Tamandua tetradactyla: one gene and its partner. The protein of the gene in region 1 purifies or fractionates together with the protein of each later gene. This does not show direct contact. Links are inferred from orthologs where the notes say so. Each region holds a gene or a part of one and is shown on either strand. Other genes may lie near its edges. The genes, in order: DCAF4 and COPS5.

Region 1 (8,647 bases):
TCAGTTACTCGGACCAGGAAACTGCTTCAATTTATCCAAGCACACAGAATACCAATACTACAGGTTATTACTGGACTCAGAACTTCCTAGTGCCTAGAATATTCTTGCTCATTACCCCAGAGCTCTCTCCTTTCCAGAATTGCCATCCTTGGGTGGTGGAATCAGCACTTGGGTGAATATGTAATCATACAAAGGAACTTGGAAAGTTTTGTGGGACATTTCATTCAGCTTAGTGAAGGGACAGGAGAATTATTTTGAATCCAGTTTTTCAGGGACCAAGATACATCCCTCAGATATTACAACTCCTTCCCTTTGATACTGCTAAATAGAAGCTGACAAATTCTGATTAAACAGCTCTTTTTTCCAGGCTCTGGGTGATTGTTACCACATGATGGACATGTTCTTGGATTATGTTTCTCTTATATTGATTACATTTCGGATTAGTGTCTCCAAGATGGGGTTTGACAAGGCAACCTAGCCCCTTTGACAAATTCTGCAGGTGGCAGCTGTTCATAATATGTTGACTTGTTTTAACTAATATTTAAATGTGATATTTTAGAAGAATCAGACTTAAATTTTATATTTTAATTTCACATAGTCAAAAGTAAAAAAGTACAACAAAGCATATAGTGAAAAACCTTCCTCCCATCCCTGCCTCCTAACTACTTACGTTCCCTCCCTAAAGTTAATGGATATGATCAAGTTTAGTATCATTCCAGGGACATACACATATATATACACACACAAATACATTTTTCATTCTATATGCTACTAAAAATCTATCTTGGAGGTAATTTCATATCAGTATATAAAGAACCTCCTCATTCTTTTTACTTTTTTTTTTTTTAACTTTCTTTGTTGTGAAATATAACATATATACAAATAAGCAATAAATTTCCAAGTACATTTAACAAGTAATTATAGAACAGATTTTAAAGTTTGGTATGGGTTACAGTTTCACAATTTTTCATGTTTTCTTCTTGTTCCTGCAAGACACTAGAGACCAAAAGAAATATCAATATAATGATTCATCAGTCATACTCATTTGTTAAATTCTATCTTTTCTGTTATACGCCTCTTTTTTGTGTGTGAAAAATAACACATATACAGAAAAGCAATAAATTTCAAAGCACATCGCAACAATTAGTTGTACAACAGATTTCAGAGTTTGGTATGGGTTATGATTCCACAATTTTGTTTTTACTCCTAGCTGCTCTAAGGTACTGGAAACTAAAAGAAATATCAATATAATGATTCAGCAATCATACTCATTTGTTAAACCCTACCTTCTCTGTATAACTCCACCTTTGAGCTATGCCCATTCTAACATTTTCATGTTGGAAAGGGTTGTTAATAATATGGTATAGGCGGATGGAGCTAGTTGATGTTCTGGAGAGGCTGGCCCCTCTGCATTTCAGGACTTATCTGGTGCAAGGACCCACCTGGAGTTTGTAGGTTCCTAAAGAGTTACCCTAGTAGAGAGAACCTTTGTAGAATCTTATATAATGCCCTAGGTATTCTTTAGGATTGGCAGGAATGGTTTTGTTTGGGGTTTGGCAAGTTACAATAGGTAGTAAGGTCTAATTGACGCTTGTGTAAGAGTGACCTCCAGAGTATCCTCTTGACTCTATGTGAACTCTCTCAGCCACTGATACCTTATTTCTTATACTTCTTTTGTCCCCTTTGGTCAAGATGGCATTGTTGATCCCACTGTGCCAGGGCCAGGCTCATCCCTGGGAGTCATTCTTTTACTTTGTAACAGTTGCAGAGTATTCCACTGAATTAATGTAACATAAGTTTTCCTCTTATTAATGGATATTAAGGTTGTATCCAACTTTTCACTATTATAAACAAAACTCCATAGACTTAATCAATTTTGTACATAACAAAATAAAAATTTTAGGGTGAATTAGCAATATAATTGCTCAAAGGTCTGTGTGTTTTAATTTTGATAAATATCGATATATTGCTAAACTCTCTCCCTTAGAGATTGTACGGGAGCCCCCTCATTGAATCTTTTTTTTTACATGGGCAGGCACTGGGAATTGAACCTGGGTCCTTGGGCATGGCAGGCAAGCACTCCTACCTGCTGAGTCACCATGGCCCACCCTCCTCATTGAATTTTAACAACCTTCTGTACTTTGCTGATTATGAAAAAGGGGTATGTCGGTATAGTTTTAAACTACATTTCCCTTATATGGAGTGAGACTAAGCATCATTTTATATTTATTTCCTTTTTTGTAGATGGACTGCTCATTTTTCTATTGGGTTTATTTTTGGGAGCTCTTTATATATTACGAAAATTAGCTTTTCTAAGAGTTGCAAATATTTTATATCAAATATCAGTGCATATCTTTTGATTTTCATTATAATACTTTTTGCCTCAAGAACGCAGATTCTGGAAACAGACTGCCTGAATTCAAATCTTGATTCTGATATTCACCTGCTGTGTGACCTTGACCAAGTCACTTAGTCAAATTCACACAAAGTGGTGATATTAATAGTACCTACCTTGTAAGATTGTTCTAATGATTAAAAGAATGAATATATGTAAAGTGATCAGAAAATATCTGACTTATGGTAAGGACTATAAGTGATTATTTATCATTTTTATGTAGTCGAATTTAATCTTGATTCAATTTAGACACCATTTCAAAGAACAACTTTCATTTATCTTGGTTTTAGATTCTGGAGAGGAAATTTTTTAAAAGTAATTATTGTTACTTTTGATAATAACACATGCCATCTAGATCTTGAGCTATACTCCTAATAGAGGATGTCCAGTCAATGGGAGCTATAGATCAAGCACCGTGCAAGGTGATTTATCCTCGCATTTACTATGCAAAACCCTCTTTAGTAGATGTTAATATCCCCATTTACCAACAGAGATTCAGAGAGGTCGTATAACTTGTTAAAGGCCAAGCTTCCTTTGTGCACTAATTAATGCTGTTTAATCTTTCTCACCGTGTGTACACTGCAGGTCCCCAAGGCATATCCCGTGCCTATCACACCACTCCCTCTGTGGATATTCAATTGCCCTCTCTGCCATTCAGCAGTTCAGAAGTCCAAACAAACTCTTCCTCCTTACTTCCTCCAGTCACCCAGCTCTTCGGTTTAAAACCCTATCTGTCTCCTCCCACAGAGTCTATCAAGTCATGCAGGTTCTCCCGAAATGTGTCACTCATTCACCACCCCAACCCTGCTTTTATCCCTGGCTGGGCCCTCACTACCTCTCACAGGCACTGCTGCTGCACTAACCTCCTAACAAGTTTCTCATCTGACTTCCAGTCTTTCCTCTCCAGTCTCCTACACAGCGCTACCCAGGTAATTTCCCCAAAGCAAAGCTCTAGTCGTATCACTCCAAGCCTTCAGAGGTTCATGCTACTTACTCACTGTCTACACTTTTTACAGCATCTGAAGCCCCTTGTAAGTTTTACCTCCAGGACTCCCCTCTCATTCAGCCAAAAGAAATGTCTCACTATTTCTTGAACAAGCTGTCAGTCATGTTTTTTTCTTCCAATTTCCCTCTGCCTCCTCTTCAAGGCAATACAAGCTTCATAAAACTGTCCTTTATTCTGATTATACTCACATCTCTCATCCCCCTCTCCAGCCCTTCACACCTGCCCACCTCCACTCCACCATGCCCAGCACTTCTTTGTAAACTTCAGAGTCGAAATTCTACTTTCATGGTATTGCTTGAAACGCCTTCTGGATGTACTGGAAGGACGGATAAACGCCACAACCTAGTTTCTGAAGAGTAAAGCCACAGGGGTCTTTGTTAACAGACAGCTGGGGCACCAGGTCTGCAAGTGGCCCCAAAGCCCGGCCTATTTGAACTCAGCTCTCCTCACAAAACTGGTATTCAGTAGAAAATACTTTCTGGGTAAACAGGAATGGGCTTATTTTCCTATTGTATCACGAGCTCTATCACAGGCTGCTGTTTTCCTTTTAGAAGACCTGATGGCTGTCAGCTAAGGCACAACACACAGAAAACTTTCTGGAACTATTTATTGCTCGTATGGACAAATCGTTCTGAACGTTATTGCTGGAGAAAAGGACAGACATAAGAAACGGAAGCCCAGAGAAGGGAAGAGCCTGCCCCAGGTCCACATTAAGAAGGGAACAGAATTAAGCCTGGAACCCAGGCCTCCTGACTCCCCGCTCCGGGCACCCTCCTCTGCACCGCGGGGCCAAGCAGAACTCGGGTCATCCGCCTCAAACACCTGAAGTCACCGCCGAAGACGTCAGCACCTGTTCCTCTTCTCTCTCTCACCTCAGAGACTCCTTCGCCCTTCACCCAACACAATCCTCCTCCTCAAGTGTTAGTTTTAAAGACAGTGGCCCCCGAGTGACAAAAGAACTTCTCCCGGGTTGGGTCAGTGAGCTGCGGGCAGAGAAGGAATCCGGACCCGGGCGAGAGACGCACACCTTCTCGGGTGGTCTGCGAGCCCTGAGGCTCCTGGACGGACACGCCCCGGACACGCCCGGACACGCCAGTCGACCCGGACCGCCCCACCAGGCTGGGCGGAGCCGAACACCCATGTCCCGCCCTCCCGGTGAGATCGACCCTATAGATGTCGACAGACAGAAGCTGTGTCCAATGAGAAGGAAGAGGCGGCCGTCATGGCCCTATCGGCTGCTACAACACAACAACGGACGCGCCTAACTGGCTGACCCTACAACTCGGTCCTTCCGGGTTCCTCCGCAACTCGTTCCTAACCTTGCAGAGCTGGGGTCGCGGGCTAGCCAGAACGGACCCTCACAATCAGGTAGGTCTATGTTGGCTGAGGTGCCAGGTGGTGTCGGACGGAGGGCTGCTGTTGCTTCTCCCCTCTTACAGAGCTCAGGTGGGTGGGAGCGTGTGGGGAAGGCCAGAGAAAGGGGCGGGGAGGAACCGAGCAGCACGTGGAACGCCGGTAGGACTGTGGCTGGGGTGGAGGCTGGGCAGGTGGGTTCCGGTTTTGCCGGAGGGAATCCGTGGGCGTGTGGGGTGGGGGTGGGGGTGGGGGTGGGGCCTGTCCTGAAGGTCGGAGCTGCAGTCGTAGACACGGGGGCGGGGAGTGAAAAGAGGGACCCGAGTGTCGCCGCTCAGTCTCTTGCCCCGAAGGAACGTTTTTAAAAACCCTGATGCTGGTGGCACCATCAAGCACCTAGCCTTGGCTGGGCTACCGATTCATGGGGGCTGTTTCCCCTTAATGTTCATATTGGGTTGACTTTTTCGGTCAGGTCAGCATAACAGCCAACGCATATTGAGTGCTTACTAAGTGCTAGGCGCTGTACTAACTGCTTTGGAGGCACTAAATTTCGTTTTCCACACGACAGCCCTATAGATAGGCTGCAGAAAGGGCGTAGTGAGGTTGAAACTTACCCCGTCTAATTAAGTGACGAATCCCTAATTTGATCTGAGACTTTCTGAGTCCAGAGCCCGGCCCTTAACGGCCACACCGAGTTGTGTAGTAGCAAGAGAGCCAGTATTTGCACATACGTGCTTGCAGAGTCCAGCAAGTCTTGTCCTTCTAGTTGACTGCAGGAACCGTGATAAACCCTTCTCCTTGATGGGGCAGGATAGTCGACGGACATCGTCTTGTGAATTGATCAGTACAGCAGAGGGGGAAAAAGGAGGAAAGAAAACTAATAGGACAGCTCCAGGAGGAAACAAACAAAATCCCAGAGTCCCAAACTCTGTTTTTAAATAACAATGGAATTTATAGTTGAGGTGGTGTCTTGTTAAAACGCTGGTGACCAGGCTCAGGGGTCAGACCAGCAGGGCTGGAATCCCTATTTCACCACTAATTAGTTTTGTCATTCTGTGCATATTACTCAGTCCTCTAGGCCTCCAGGCCTCCGTTTCCTTATTTATAAAACAGAGGTAAAATAACAGCTCAGGGTGGATATTAGTACAAAGGCTTACACCTGTAGTATTTCTTGAATAACAGAAAACTTTTTTTTTTACACTAAGCAAAAGTAGTATTTCACTCCTCAGTGCTTCCAAACTGAACTATTTGCATTTTTCCGTTTCCTTGCAGCCTCTGTCCTTGTGTCCACATACTTTTAACAAGGTGGAAGTCTCCATGTAGAGGTCGTTTTGTATTCGCCTGTACAAATCAGTGGCATTAGCATCCTTCCACATTATGGTTCAGTAGTTTCCGTAATTTTATGTTGAGTAGCTGTACCACAGTCATAATTCATTTAATTCCTTTTTGTTGAATATTTTGGATATGTCTTGTTTTAGATATTACAGTAATGCTGAGTAAATATCTTTTTTTTTTTGAGACATAATTCAGATACTATAAAATCTACCACTTAAAAGTTAACAATTCCATGGATTTTAGTATATTTGCAAGGTTCCATGGTCATCCCCACTATCTAATTCCGGAATAGTTTCATCACACCAAAGAGAAACCCTGTGGTCCTGGGTCAACCTTGGAGGCCTGGTGGATGGGCCCCATTCTAGGTTTCCCAACGCCTTAGGCTAGCAAGATGTTGAGGCTCCTCCTGGAAAACTGGTAACAAGCAGGGGGACCCAACTGCCCAGAGACCCTAGATTCAAGAACTTGCATGGGAGAATTGGAGCCTCTCTCCAGGGAGTCTCTATAGCTAAGTCCTGGACCTGAGCCACTATATTCTGGGGCCTCCTTCCCTAAACTAGAGGAGGCTGGTGAGGGAAGTCCATGTACCAGTGAGAGTACTGCTACCCACCCACTTTCTCCAGGCTGGAGTCCCAGCACTGCCTCGGGCCATACAAAACCCTGGGAATAGCCCAAGCTTCCAGGTCACAGCTTGAGGCCTACATGCCTGTGCCTTTTCGTGTGTCTCTACCTTCCGGATATTGAGGCCAGGCCAGGAATGTGATCTTAAAGGCAGGGAGGGACAGGTTATCAGCAAAACCTGCAAGATGATATCACAAATGGGAAAAAGCATTTTGGAGAGCTGCACCAAATCTTTTGCTGCTTATGTGCAGAAAATCACCATGCTGTCAGACAAAGCCAACCTCCTGGTGAAATCAGCATGTGTGCCTCTACAGAGACCCAGAGGCCTGAACAACTTTTCCTGATGAGTTTGCCAAACATCAGGCTTGTCAATAACCAGAGGTTGAAAGACTTGAAGCCAAAGTAGTTAAACCTTTGAAAACTTAAGTTGCATTGAAAAATGGAATGGGATGACCTCAGGCCACATTAACCGCAAAGAATTAAGCTAAACGGTTAACTCGGAAAAGGACAAATCAGCGAGACCCATGTGATCAGCATGTTATTTCACAGGCAGAAACTGAGTCTCAGGGAGCTACAGACAAGTCATCATCTGAAGGAAGCTATTCCAGTTTTGGAAAGCAGAAAATAGATGATATGAAGACTATAGTTTCAGAATTTATCACTATTGAAATACTTCTTTGCAGAGCAGAGGTATTCACGTGTTGCCTACCAAAATAAAGAAAAGGTTGAGAAGAAAAATTTAGATGTTGGGCATATTTTCGTGTGCTTCTTGGCCATTTGTATGTCTTCTTTGGGGAAGTGCCACCCCAGTCTTTTGTCCATTTTTTAATCAGTTTGTCTTTTCATTGTTCAATTGTGGAAGTTCCTTATATATTCTAGATACTGGACCCTTATAGATGATTTACACATGTCTTTTCCCATTCTGTACATTGTCTTTTCACTTTCTTGTTAAGATCCATCGATGCACCAAAGTTTTAAATTTTCTTCTAAGAGTTCATAGTTTCAGCTCTTAAATTTAGGTCTTGGATCCATTTGAGTTAATTTTTGTATATGATATGATGTAGGGTCCAACTTCATTGTTTTCCATGTGACGACTATCCAGTTGTCCAGCACCATTTGTTGAAAAGACTGCTTTTACCCCCATTGTATGGTCTTGGCACCGTTGTTGAAAAATCAGCTGACCCTACATATATGGGTTTATTTCTGGACTCTGTTCTAGTCTGTGGCTCCTTCTGTCCTTATGCCAGTAACCACACTGTCTTGATTATTGTAACTTTCAAGTAAGTTTTTTTTTTTTATTTAATTTTTTTATTAATCAAAAAAAAGAAAAGAAATTAACACAACATTTAGAAATCATTCCATTCTACAAATGCACTCAGTAATTCTTAGTATCATCACATAGATGTATGATCATCATTTCTTAGTACATTTGCATCGATTTAGGAAAAGAACTAGCAAAACAGCAGAAAAAAATATAGAATGTTAATATAGAGAAGAGAATTAAAATAATAATACTAATAATATATATATATATATATATATAAAGGAAAAAGAAAAAAAACAAAAACAAAAGATACAAACACACAAACAAACAAAAAACCATATTTTAGGTGCAGCTTCATTCAGTGTTCCAACATAGTTACATTACACTTAGGTATTATTGTGCTGTCCATTTTTGAGTTTTTGTATCTAGTCCTGTTGCACAGTCTGTATCCCTTCAGCTCCAATTACCCATTATCTTACCCTGTTTCTAACTCCTGCTGGTCTCTGTTACCAATGATATATTCCAAGCTGATTTTCAAATGTCGGTTCACATCAGTGGGACCTTACAGTATTTGTCCTTTAGTTTTGGGCTAGACTCACTCAGCATAATGTTCTCTAGGTCCATCCATGTTATTACATGCTTCATAAGTTTAGTCTGTCTTAAAGCTGCATAA
Region 2 (9,255 bases), on another chromosome or scaffold:
CTATGATACCAACCAATTGCATTTTCAAGGCGACCAACCTAACAAGTGAAGAGGGCAAAGGAACTTGACGTTACTGTTTGATATTAGAGAAACTTGTCATTCGTCTGTTTATATAGCTTTAGGTAAAAATGGAATGCAGAATAATTCATAGCATATTCTACTTTCAAGTTTTAAAAAAGAGGATTTTTTGAATAGGTAATACATGTATAAGGTACCAAATTAACAAGGCACAAGTAAAATAAAGGTATTTAGTTTCCTTCCCACCTCTTTCATCTCCACTATCTAGTTTCCCAGCCCAGATGCTACCACCATAGCCAGTTTTACATACCCTTCCAGAGACAGTCTTTGCATATAAAATAAATATTCTTTGCACATACGTAGATTAAAGACACATACATACAATAGCAAACCACATAATGGTCAACACTTTGCTTTTTCATTTAACATAACATTCTGGAGTTAGTTCCACATAAGTAAAAATAAAGATAGCTACTTCATTTTTTTAAAGGCAGGCTAGAAAAACCATTGTATAGATGTATCATAATTTATTTAACCAGTTTTATAGTCAGGAACATTTAAGTTGTTTCCATCCAAACTTTTCATTTTAAACACACATCTGGTAGTGAGAGAATCTGAATGAAAAAATTCCAAATTTTTAATCTCCTATACATTAAGAAATTGTTGCAAAAAACTTAATTATGAACTTCAGCGTAAAGAGAACAGTTTTAGGTTTGGAAAGTCAAAAGTCACCTTGAAACTTCTGGTTATGAACTTTAAGAAACAATGGTTTTACCTGTTTGGCATTCTCTATATACGCAGCCATGTATTCATATGCAGCAGCCTGAGCATTAACTCGAGTTTCAGTGCCCTCCACAGGCAAAGCAAAACTGTCCATAATGATCATGGTCTCACCATCCACCTTTCCTAGCATTAAACCCATTACTTCCAGGTTTCCTCCTGATCTGGCATGCATCACCATTTTCAGTAGAGCCAATGCTGAGATTTTGCAGTACTTAAAGTAATGGTGACTACAAGACAAAAACATGGTGTAATTAAATTTATATAAAGAACAATTTCAAAAGGTATTTTTTTTGGTGAAGTGAAGGACTATATATTGAAGGAATTTACAGTGATGGAAGGGGAGACAGAGTGTAAATTTGGGGAAAGAAAAAATAGGATAGGACAGAGTTCCTGCAGGGTGCCAAAAATAATAAACATGTCATAGTTCTGAACAGTTATTTCCACTTAGGGGAGGCAAAGTCTGAAAGAATTTTTAACTATGTTATTCAAGTGAAAAAGAGATCAGCTTAATAGACTTTTTCTCTATTAATTTCAGCATTACTGAGTCTCTGATTTTGACTCTGGCAGAATGGTTGTGTCTAACCAACTATTCTCAGGATCAGCCTTCTGTCCTAATGGTTGAGAACATGGGCTCTGATATCCGACTATGTTTGAATCCTGGCACTGCCACTTACTAACTATGGCCTCAGGACAACCACTTAATGTCTGTTCTTTAGCTTGCTTTTCTGTAAATAGGAATATTTCATAAGGTTGTTGTCAGGACTAAATAAAGTAAATAATCAGTAGACTACATCAACATTAAATGCATAGTCTACTATAAGTAGTAAGCAAATAACAAGGCAACCTAAACAGTCTGTATAGAATGGCCAAATTCTATGAAAAGTCATTTTTAGATGACATCTCACAGGTCATCTAAAAGCATCCAGGCTTAATTATCAAGTTTTGACAGATTTCAGTTACAAGCTGAAAAATATGAAGATTTGGTCTTAGGATTCAGGCACATGAATTAAAATTTTGGCTCCTCTATTTACTGGGGAAAAGAAAAGAAGATACAACTATTGTGATCCTATTACATGCATTCTAAACCCTTTTAATACCAAAATCTCATCTAATCTGTCTGACATCCACAAGAGGTAAGTCTTATCTCCATTTCAGAGACAAAAAAATGGGGACGCAAGGTCAATCACACAGTTAGTGACAGCTGGGAGAATTGATCTTAGGTCTATTGCTTATTTAAAAGTTCACTGCCTCAGTGCAATCATGAGGTGTGCCTTTCATGTATTTGCCTGTTTTATAATTGCAAAAAAGGAATGAAAATACAGTACAAGACTGTCAGGAAAAGATTATATGGTATTCCAGTATTAAGTTCTCAATAAACATTGCTGAATCTGAATTCTGGCAGTTAAAGTCAGCTTGTCTAAAACTCTGAGCAGATAAAATATGGTTTCTGTTGGTGTTCCTGTCTTTCTTCCTCTCCATCAGACAGTGCCTTCCCGTGCTCTTTTTACTTTCTCTAACAAAGTCTGTTCTCAGTAAAGAATAAATGTTATGATGAAAAGAACTCTAGACTTGTCATCGTTTCCAGGGAAAGAAATATTTTGCTAAGGGGCAAAGAGCCTTAAGCTCTATTAATATAATTTTTGGCTTATCTGAAGTGGTGTACCATTATTTTGGGAGACTGGATAAAGCCTCTGTATGTCCATGACATAACTACCAGCAGTTAAAAGACTGGTAGTCTTTTTTTTACATCTTTTTTTTATACATCTCTAAAAGATGGCTTATTGCTATCTGAGAGTCCTGAAGACGACTGCAGTCCCCAGTCCAGGATTAGCTGAAGGACCAGCCATAGTGTAGATCCCCTCGTGCTTCAAGGCAGAGTGTGCGGCATTAATGACAATACGGATGTTGAGAGATGATAACCCCTATCACCGCCACTTCTTTACTCCCTTTCATCTCCTGTAGGCAAATGGATTAAGGAGACAGAATTTAGGAGTCGCCGCAGACCCTCAGAGAGGGATTTGGGTTCTAGTTGCGGAGGTAAAGGCAGACAAAATCTCTCATACTCCTCTCCTTCCTAGCCCAGGAAAAGACAGTGCCAAGCTCTCCACATTCTTCAACTCCCACTCCCCCAAGCCTCTTAAACTCCCGCCACCCCTTCCCTCCCCTGCGTCTCGCCAGGGACCTCCTCACTCCTTAGTCCAGGGCTTCGCCGCCAGGATTTCCTGTTGCTGTTTCTTATCGTATTTGTAGATTTCATCGATACTCTGGGCTTCCTGCATGTTGTTGGCCAATTCCCAGGTTTTCTGGGCCATGCCGCTCCCGGACGCTGCCATAGCCGATGAGTTGAAGCTGTCCCCGCCACAACCTAACGCAACTTTACCCGTTAGGCCTCCGGGTGTGGGCTTCGGACCCTCCCCACCACCGGTGCAAACTCTTACAGGACTCTTAAAGCAGCCATGACACCTAGAACCGGAGGTGAAGGTGGTACAGACCATTCGGAGATGACAGGGGTACTTCTGAGGAGTGACGATATAAACAGAAGTAACAGGAAGACCTAGGGAAAGAGGAATCTTCTTGCGGCTGAAATGAAAACATCCTGTCCTGAGAATTATACATGTGAATTAGGCCAAACAAGGTAATTGGGTATGAGAATGGTACGACCTTCTGCACCGGAAGAAGGGCACGTTAACGGTTTGTCAGAATCTGGAATTAGCCTTCTTTGTTTGTACTGCGCAGGCTCGGCCTCCGCCATATTTAAAATGGATAGAGTCTCAGGCTATGATGGGGAAAGTAGTAGTTTTTGTCTGGGTGTAAGGGACCTCAAATAAGATAGGTTCGTTGAAAGCTTAAAATCAGGGTGCCTGTGGAGAAATTGAGATATAAGTAGTTCGGGATGGCAGTGAGAAGGAAGATACAAATGGCATCCCATTTTCCTGCTAGACAACTCACTGCGCGTGCGTAAATGTAAGGGAGTTGGCGGCAGTTTGGCTCAGCGCCTTCAGATCGGCGTTTTCTGCGTTCGGGGCGGCTTTGGAGATACGCGGACTGCGAAATACCTCTTGCATATTTGTAAAATCTAACAGCTGTATTTATATGTTTTGAGCTAGTTACTGTCCTGAAGTGTCTATACCCAGTTTTTGCTTTTTAAATTTAATTTTATTTTCTTGGTATTCAGTTTTTATAATAAGTTACTATAAAATCTTCAACATCATTCTGTGAAACTACCCCTGACCCCGAGGGATTACATCTCAGCAACCTTTAGGTTTCTAACAATAAAATGTTTATTTCATTTGTTAGTTTACTTGTTTGGGTCAGCCTCCGCCAACACTCCCGCTGGATTCAAAATTCTAAGACGCAGGGACCAGATCTGTCTTGTTTTGTCCCTAACACCTAGCAGAGTAGATGTTTAATAAATTTTTTGCTGAACAAAATTGAGTAGTGTCAAAGCTCATCATAATCTGGTCCCTTCGCGTCTCCCCAGCTTCATTTCTCTCTTTAGTCGCTCCTGAATATTTGCTCTTCCTGCAGTATATTTATTTTGACTGCATATGCGATTAGCAATTCCTGAAATTCTCTTCCTCAACTTTTCTGCCAGAGAGTTCTTATTAATTTTTAAAATACAGCTCGGAGATCTCCACTGTGAAACCTTTCTTGACTCCCTCCTCTCTCTAGTAATCATTTCTTCCATGTTGTCTCAGTCTCTGTACGTGCTTCTATGACTGTATTACATTGCATTGTAATAACATATTTGTTTACTTGAAGATTTTATTTCCACCGTAAGCTTGAGTGCAAAACACTGTATTGTAGCCTCCACTCCTAGTATGGTGCCTGGCATATACTTAAAAAACACTGGAAGGATCAAATTCACACTCAGTCACCTGCTGTTTTGACATTGACTTCCAACCGAAGAAAATCTGCATTTAAAGACACAAAGTAATTTAGGAAAGGACCCTTAGTTCCACATTCTTAGGAAGCTAGAAATCCTCTGCCTCCTCCCCTCCCCCCAAAGATAGCTATGGCTATTCAGTATTGGGGTGAAATGAATAACCTGTTGAAATGGTATTAAAAACCCAGGACATAATTAGACTAGATTGCTGGGCTAAGAGCAATGCCCAGAAGTATGTACACAGTTTTCCTTTCACGGCTTCCCCTTACCTTTTTTTTTTTCTCCTAGCTTTGACCCAGTTCTTGAGCTAGCCGGTGCCTGAGAGGCTGGAGGGGCTGGAATCTAACCTGGGAAGTGGATCCCACGGTTTAACAGCCCCGGGGCGGACTGTCTCCGGCTGGGCTGCAGGCGCCGCCTGCGGGCCCCGGGGCGGGGGTGCCCTTGTGCAGCTGTGCAGCTGTGCGGCCTCCCGGCTGCAGAGGGCGCTCCCGGCCGCGTGATCTATCGGCCGCGACGGCAGTGGGGCGGGGCCGCACCCGGCCGTTGGTGAAGGCGGGCGGAGATCTCCGCCAGAGAGGCGGAGCCGGGCCAGCGGCCTGTCACTGTTCTCCGGCGCCGAGCGACTGCCGCCTCCGTTCCTGGACACGAAAGCTCCTAGTTGGAACATTGTGAGGACCCCAAACGGAGTTTATCCTCTTGGGTGAGAGTCCGCCAGCACGGGGTGGGGATAGGGCCCGACAGGGTGTGGCCCGGGAGTAAGGGGATCAGGGCTGGATTCGCGGCCCCGGGGCGGGGATTGGGTTTCATGGACCCGGGGAGGGGGTAAGGGAGAGTCCCTGTGGCAGCCGAGCCTGGGTCAGTGCAAGGGTTACGCGGGTGGGGTTCTTTGCGGACTGGGGTCTGACGGCTGGGGTTGGGGGCGGTACACGGGTCCTGTGGGTGGAAGCTGTCTGCCGACAGGGGTAACCGGATGCGGGCAGTGCAAGTGTCGATGTATGGGGTTCCCTGCGGACTGGGTCCCTCGGCTGCAGGGCTGGAGGAGTTAGGTGACCGGAGGTTCCCTGCGGGCAGGGGTCTCATGGCTGCCGGGCTGGGGGGTCAACCCTGCGGGCGGGTTTGTGGCGGTTGCCGGGCTGGGGCGGTGCACGCATGCGGCGGTCTCGGTTTCCCGGCGGCCGCCACGGGTGTTATGGTGACTCTGTTGCCTGACAACGCATCGAAGCTTCGTAGGGAGGAAGCCAGCCCGGTGTCCTAGACGCACGGGGTCCTCCTTCCTGCACTCCTTCCTTCTTGGGGGACCCGGCCTCCACAGCTCTACCTAGCCTTTGGCGGCGCCTTTCCTTTCCCGTAGTGCTGGTTAATGGTTAACGTTTGTTGAGGGCTTGTGCGCCCCGCGCTCTTCCCGGAGCTTTGCTTCGCAAGTTATAATTTATTTAATCTTCACCACAGATGAATGAAGAAGGTGCTTTTGTTATTCTGTTCTGTTCCTGTAATTGCCTGGCTTCTTGAACTAGAACCTTTTATTTCTAATTGCTTCAATTTAGGGTACTTTCTGAGATTTCAATCCAGTTTTCAGTAAACGTTAGCAATGTTAGCAATAGTGCATCTTTTGAGAGTCTTGCTCCAAAGATTATAGGATTGAGAAGGTAGCTTGAATGTCTAGAGAGACTAAATTTTAAAGAAAACCTCATAGTTTCCATACACCTAATAACGATCAAGAAGAGTTTGCAAAAGCCAGTTATTCTGAGGAGGTTTTATTTATAAACGTACTGGCATGTCCTGTCTACAAGCAAAAAGGAATCCTGGAAAGTTTTAGGTAATGGGTGGTGTGATGGGATCCACATTAATATAATTAATACTACTGATTGTATATTGAAAGTTATTAAAGTGGAACTTATGTTTTGTATACGTTACCAAAAAAGAAAAAAAAAAAAGGAATCCTGGGGGAAACCAGTAAGATGTTGCTTTCTTAACTGTATATCATTCTCCTGGCTAGGAGGATGCTGTCTTTCTGGTGGTAAATATATGCTGAAATGCTCCCGAGGATGAAATTTGGGTCTCTTGCAGCACTAGTAATCTCTGGGAAGGAACAGGTGTGCTTTCAGTACAATTTTTATCAAATCAACCTTTAGACAAATGCAGTTGATTACGAATTTGACAGATTTCAGATATTTTAACATCACTCTGACTTACATTCTGATATGCTTTCTGGAGTGAAAGAGAAAGATATTTGAGCAAGTGTTTCGGCAATTTTACAAAACCCATAGTCTATGTAATTTTTGCGACTGTCATCTGTACTTGCCATTAATAGTTGCTTAATAGACTTCGAAAAGCTTTTATAAACTTACTTCCTCTCTGACCCCCACCCTTTTGGTCTCCCTGCAGCGACACAGTATTTACTTCTTAGACATGTTTAGGGGGATTTGTGTCCCTATGATAAGTTGCTCATGTGGATTTCATCTAATAGGAGAAAAAGATTGAGAAACTTTCATTAGATGGAGAGATCTGTGGATGGATGGGAAGTGAGAAACGCTGTCCTGGTTTACCTCTTTCCTCCCTGCTCTAGTTTGCTGGCTGCCAGAATGCAGTATACCAGAAACAGAATGGCTTTTAAAACGGGAATTTAATAAGTTGCTAGTTTACAGCTCTAAGGCCGAGAAAATGTCCCAATTGAAACAAGTCTATAGAAATGTCCAATCAAAGGCATCCAGGGAAAGATACCTTGGTTCAGGAAGGCCGATGAACTTCAGGATTTCTCTCTCAATTGTGAAGGCCCAAGGCTTCGGGCTTCTCTCTCAGCTGGAAGGGCACATGGCAAACAGGGCATCATGTGCTAGCTTCTCTCCTGGCTTCCGGTTTCATGAAGCTCCCCGGGAGGCATTTTCCTTCTTCATCTCCAAAGGTCACTGGTTTGTGGACTCTCTGCTTCGTGGTGCTGCAGCATTCTCAGCTCTCCCCGAATCTCTCATTCTTCAAAATGTTTCCTCTTTTATAGGACTTCTGAAACTAATCAAGACCCACCCAAATGGGTGGAGACACATCTCCCCTAATCCAGTTTAACAACCAATCTTGATTAGTTGTTAACCTAATCTTGATTAGGTTACATCTCCAGGGAGATGATCTAATTACATACAGTATTGAGTAGGGATTATTCTGCCTCTACAAAATGGAATTTTGATTAAAACATGGCTTTTCTAGGGTACATACATCCTTTTAAACCAGCACACTTCCTTTCTTTCTTCTGAGTTTCTTTCACAGGTTCCCATATCCTGGCCCCAACCTCAATATGTTTGCACTCCATGGGATTCTATCTGCAGTGCTATTCTCCTTCTACTCTAGGGTCTCTTTTCCCAGCCGACTTTAATGATTACTGTAAACATTGCTGGATCTTTAGTTCCAGTCTGGGTTCTTTCCTGAGTTCCAGACATACATTATTTTCTTGATATCTCCATTGGATCCTTTATGAGGTTCCTCACATTTAATCCCTGAAGCCCAGACTGGCTAAACTGTAAACCATTGTGGCATGGGCCATTATCGTGTGTGAATTCAAAGGTGAAGTTCATGTCTTATTCTTTTTTTAAAAAAATTTTATCACCCCAGCATCTAGCACAATGTTTGCTTTAGGAGGGGAGCTACTTTCTGTTTGTCATGTTCCATAGTGGGAAGTTAAATAATTTCTGCTCCTTGAAGTGAGAAGTATGGGAGCGACATTTCCCCTCTCTTTGTGTTTGATGAAACTGGAAAAGGAACCAGGCATACTTAACTGCTTTTGGATCTCTGCTTTTTCAACTTGCTCAGGACTTAGAATGGGTATGTTCTGGTCTGCCCATATTTCTATCTATATGACAAGCGTAAAGGACCTAAGTTAAGGTGTAGAAATATTGAATTGGATTATAACAAAGTATCAATTATTGGTGATTTAAATCCCAGTGTACTTTAAGTTTTGAGGCTTTTTTTTAAAGGTAATACCTATATAATTAAAGACTATAAAAATACTATAAGAATCTATGAAATAGCTATGATTTATTGATTTCCAAGTGCCACATATTTTATATGCATTATTTCATATTTATCTTTAAAACATCTCTGAAGTAAGTGGTATCTCCATTTTATAAATGAGACATAGAGAGGTTAAGGAACTTTTCTGAGGTTAGTCATATAAAGTCAGTAAGTGACGGGCTTGGGTTTCAAATCCAGGTCTTTCACTAAAACTGAATTTCCTAAAAACCATTTATCATCTCCATCCTCAGTACACAGATACTAAAAAAAAACCCAACTTGGTAATAGTGTCTTGAGAAAGGTTATGAATGATTTTGCTTTGTAGGGTATCAGGAAGATGAAGAATCTCATTGAGATTTCTTTCAGCACATCTTCCTTGCATTTTAATCCTTAAATTGTAATCGTTCTTATTGTAGTTTGTACATAGACTATACTCATCAACTCAGTCTTTTTGATTTGCTAAGTAACTTTTTTATGAACAATTGATTTATTCTTTTTTTTCTTTTATTTTTTATTAATTAAAAAAAAATGAACTAACACAACATTTAGAAATCATTCCATTCTACATA

The links.
Region 2: the proteins of DCAF4 (region 1) and COPS5 purify together in Homo sapiens (affinity purification with mass spectrometry; 4 studies listed by BioGRID and IntAct, counting the BioPlex papers as one, with this or other methods). This does not show direct contact. The link is inferred for Tamandua tetradactyla from reciprocal best matches to the Homo sapiens genes DCAF4 and COPS5.

What each region holds. Positions count from the first base shown.
Region 1 is NC_135338.1:31,552,041-31,560,687, forward strand, and holds the start of DCAF4 (DDB1- and CUL4-associated factor 4), read left to right. Parts: upstream 1-4,593; 5' UTR 4,594-4,769; intron 4,770-8,647. UniProt on the Homo sapiens protein: May function as a substrate receptor for CUL4-DDB1 E3 ubiquitin-protein ligase complex.
Region 2 is NC_135332.1:110,682,046-110,691,300, forward strand, and holds the start of COPS5 (COP9 signalosome complex subunit 5), read right to left. Parts: upstream 3,506-9,255; 5' UTR 3,297-3,505; coding exon 2,992-3,296; intron 1,029-2,991; coding exon 794-1,028; intron 39-793; coding exon 1-38. UniProt on the Homo sapiens protein: Probable protease subunit of the COP9 signalosome complex (CSN), a complex involved in various cellular and developmental processes.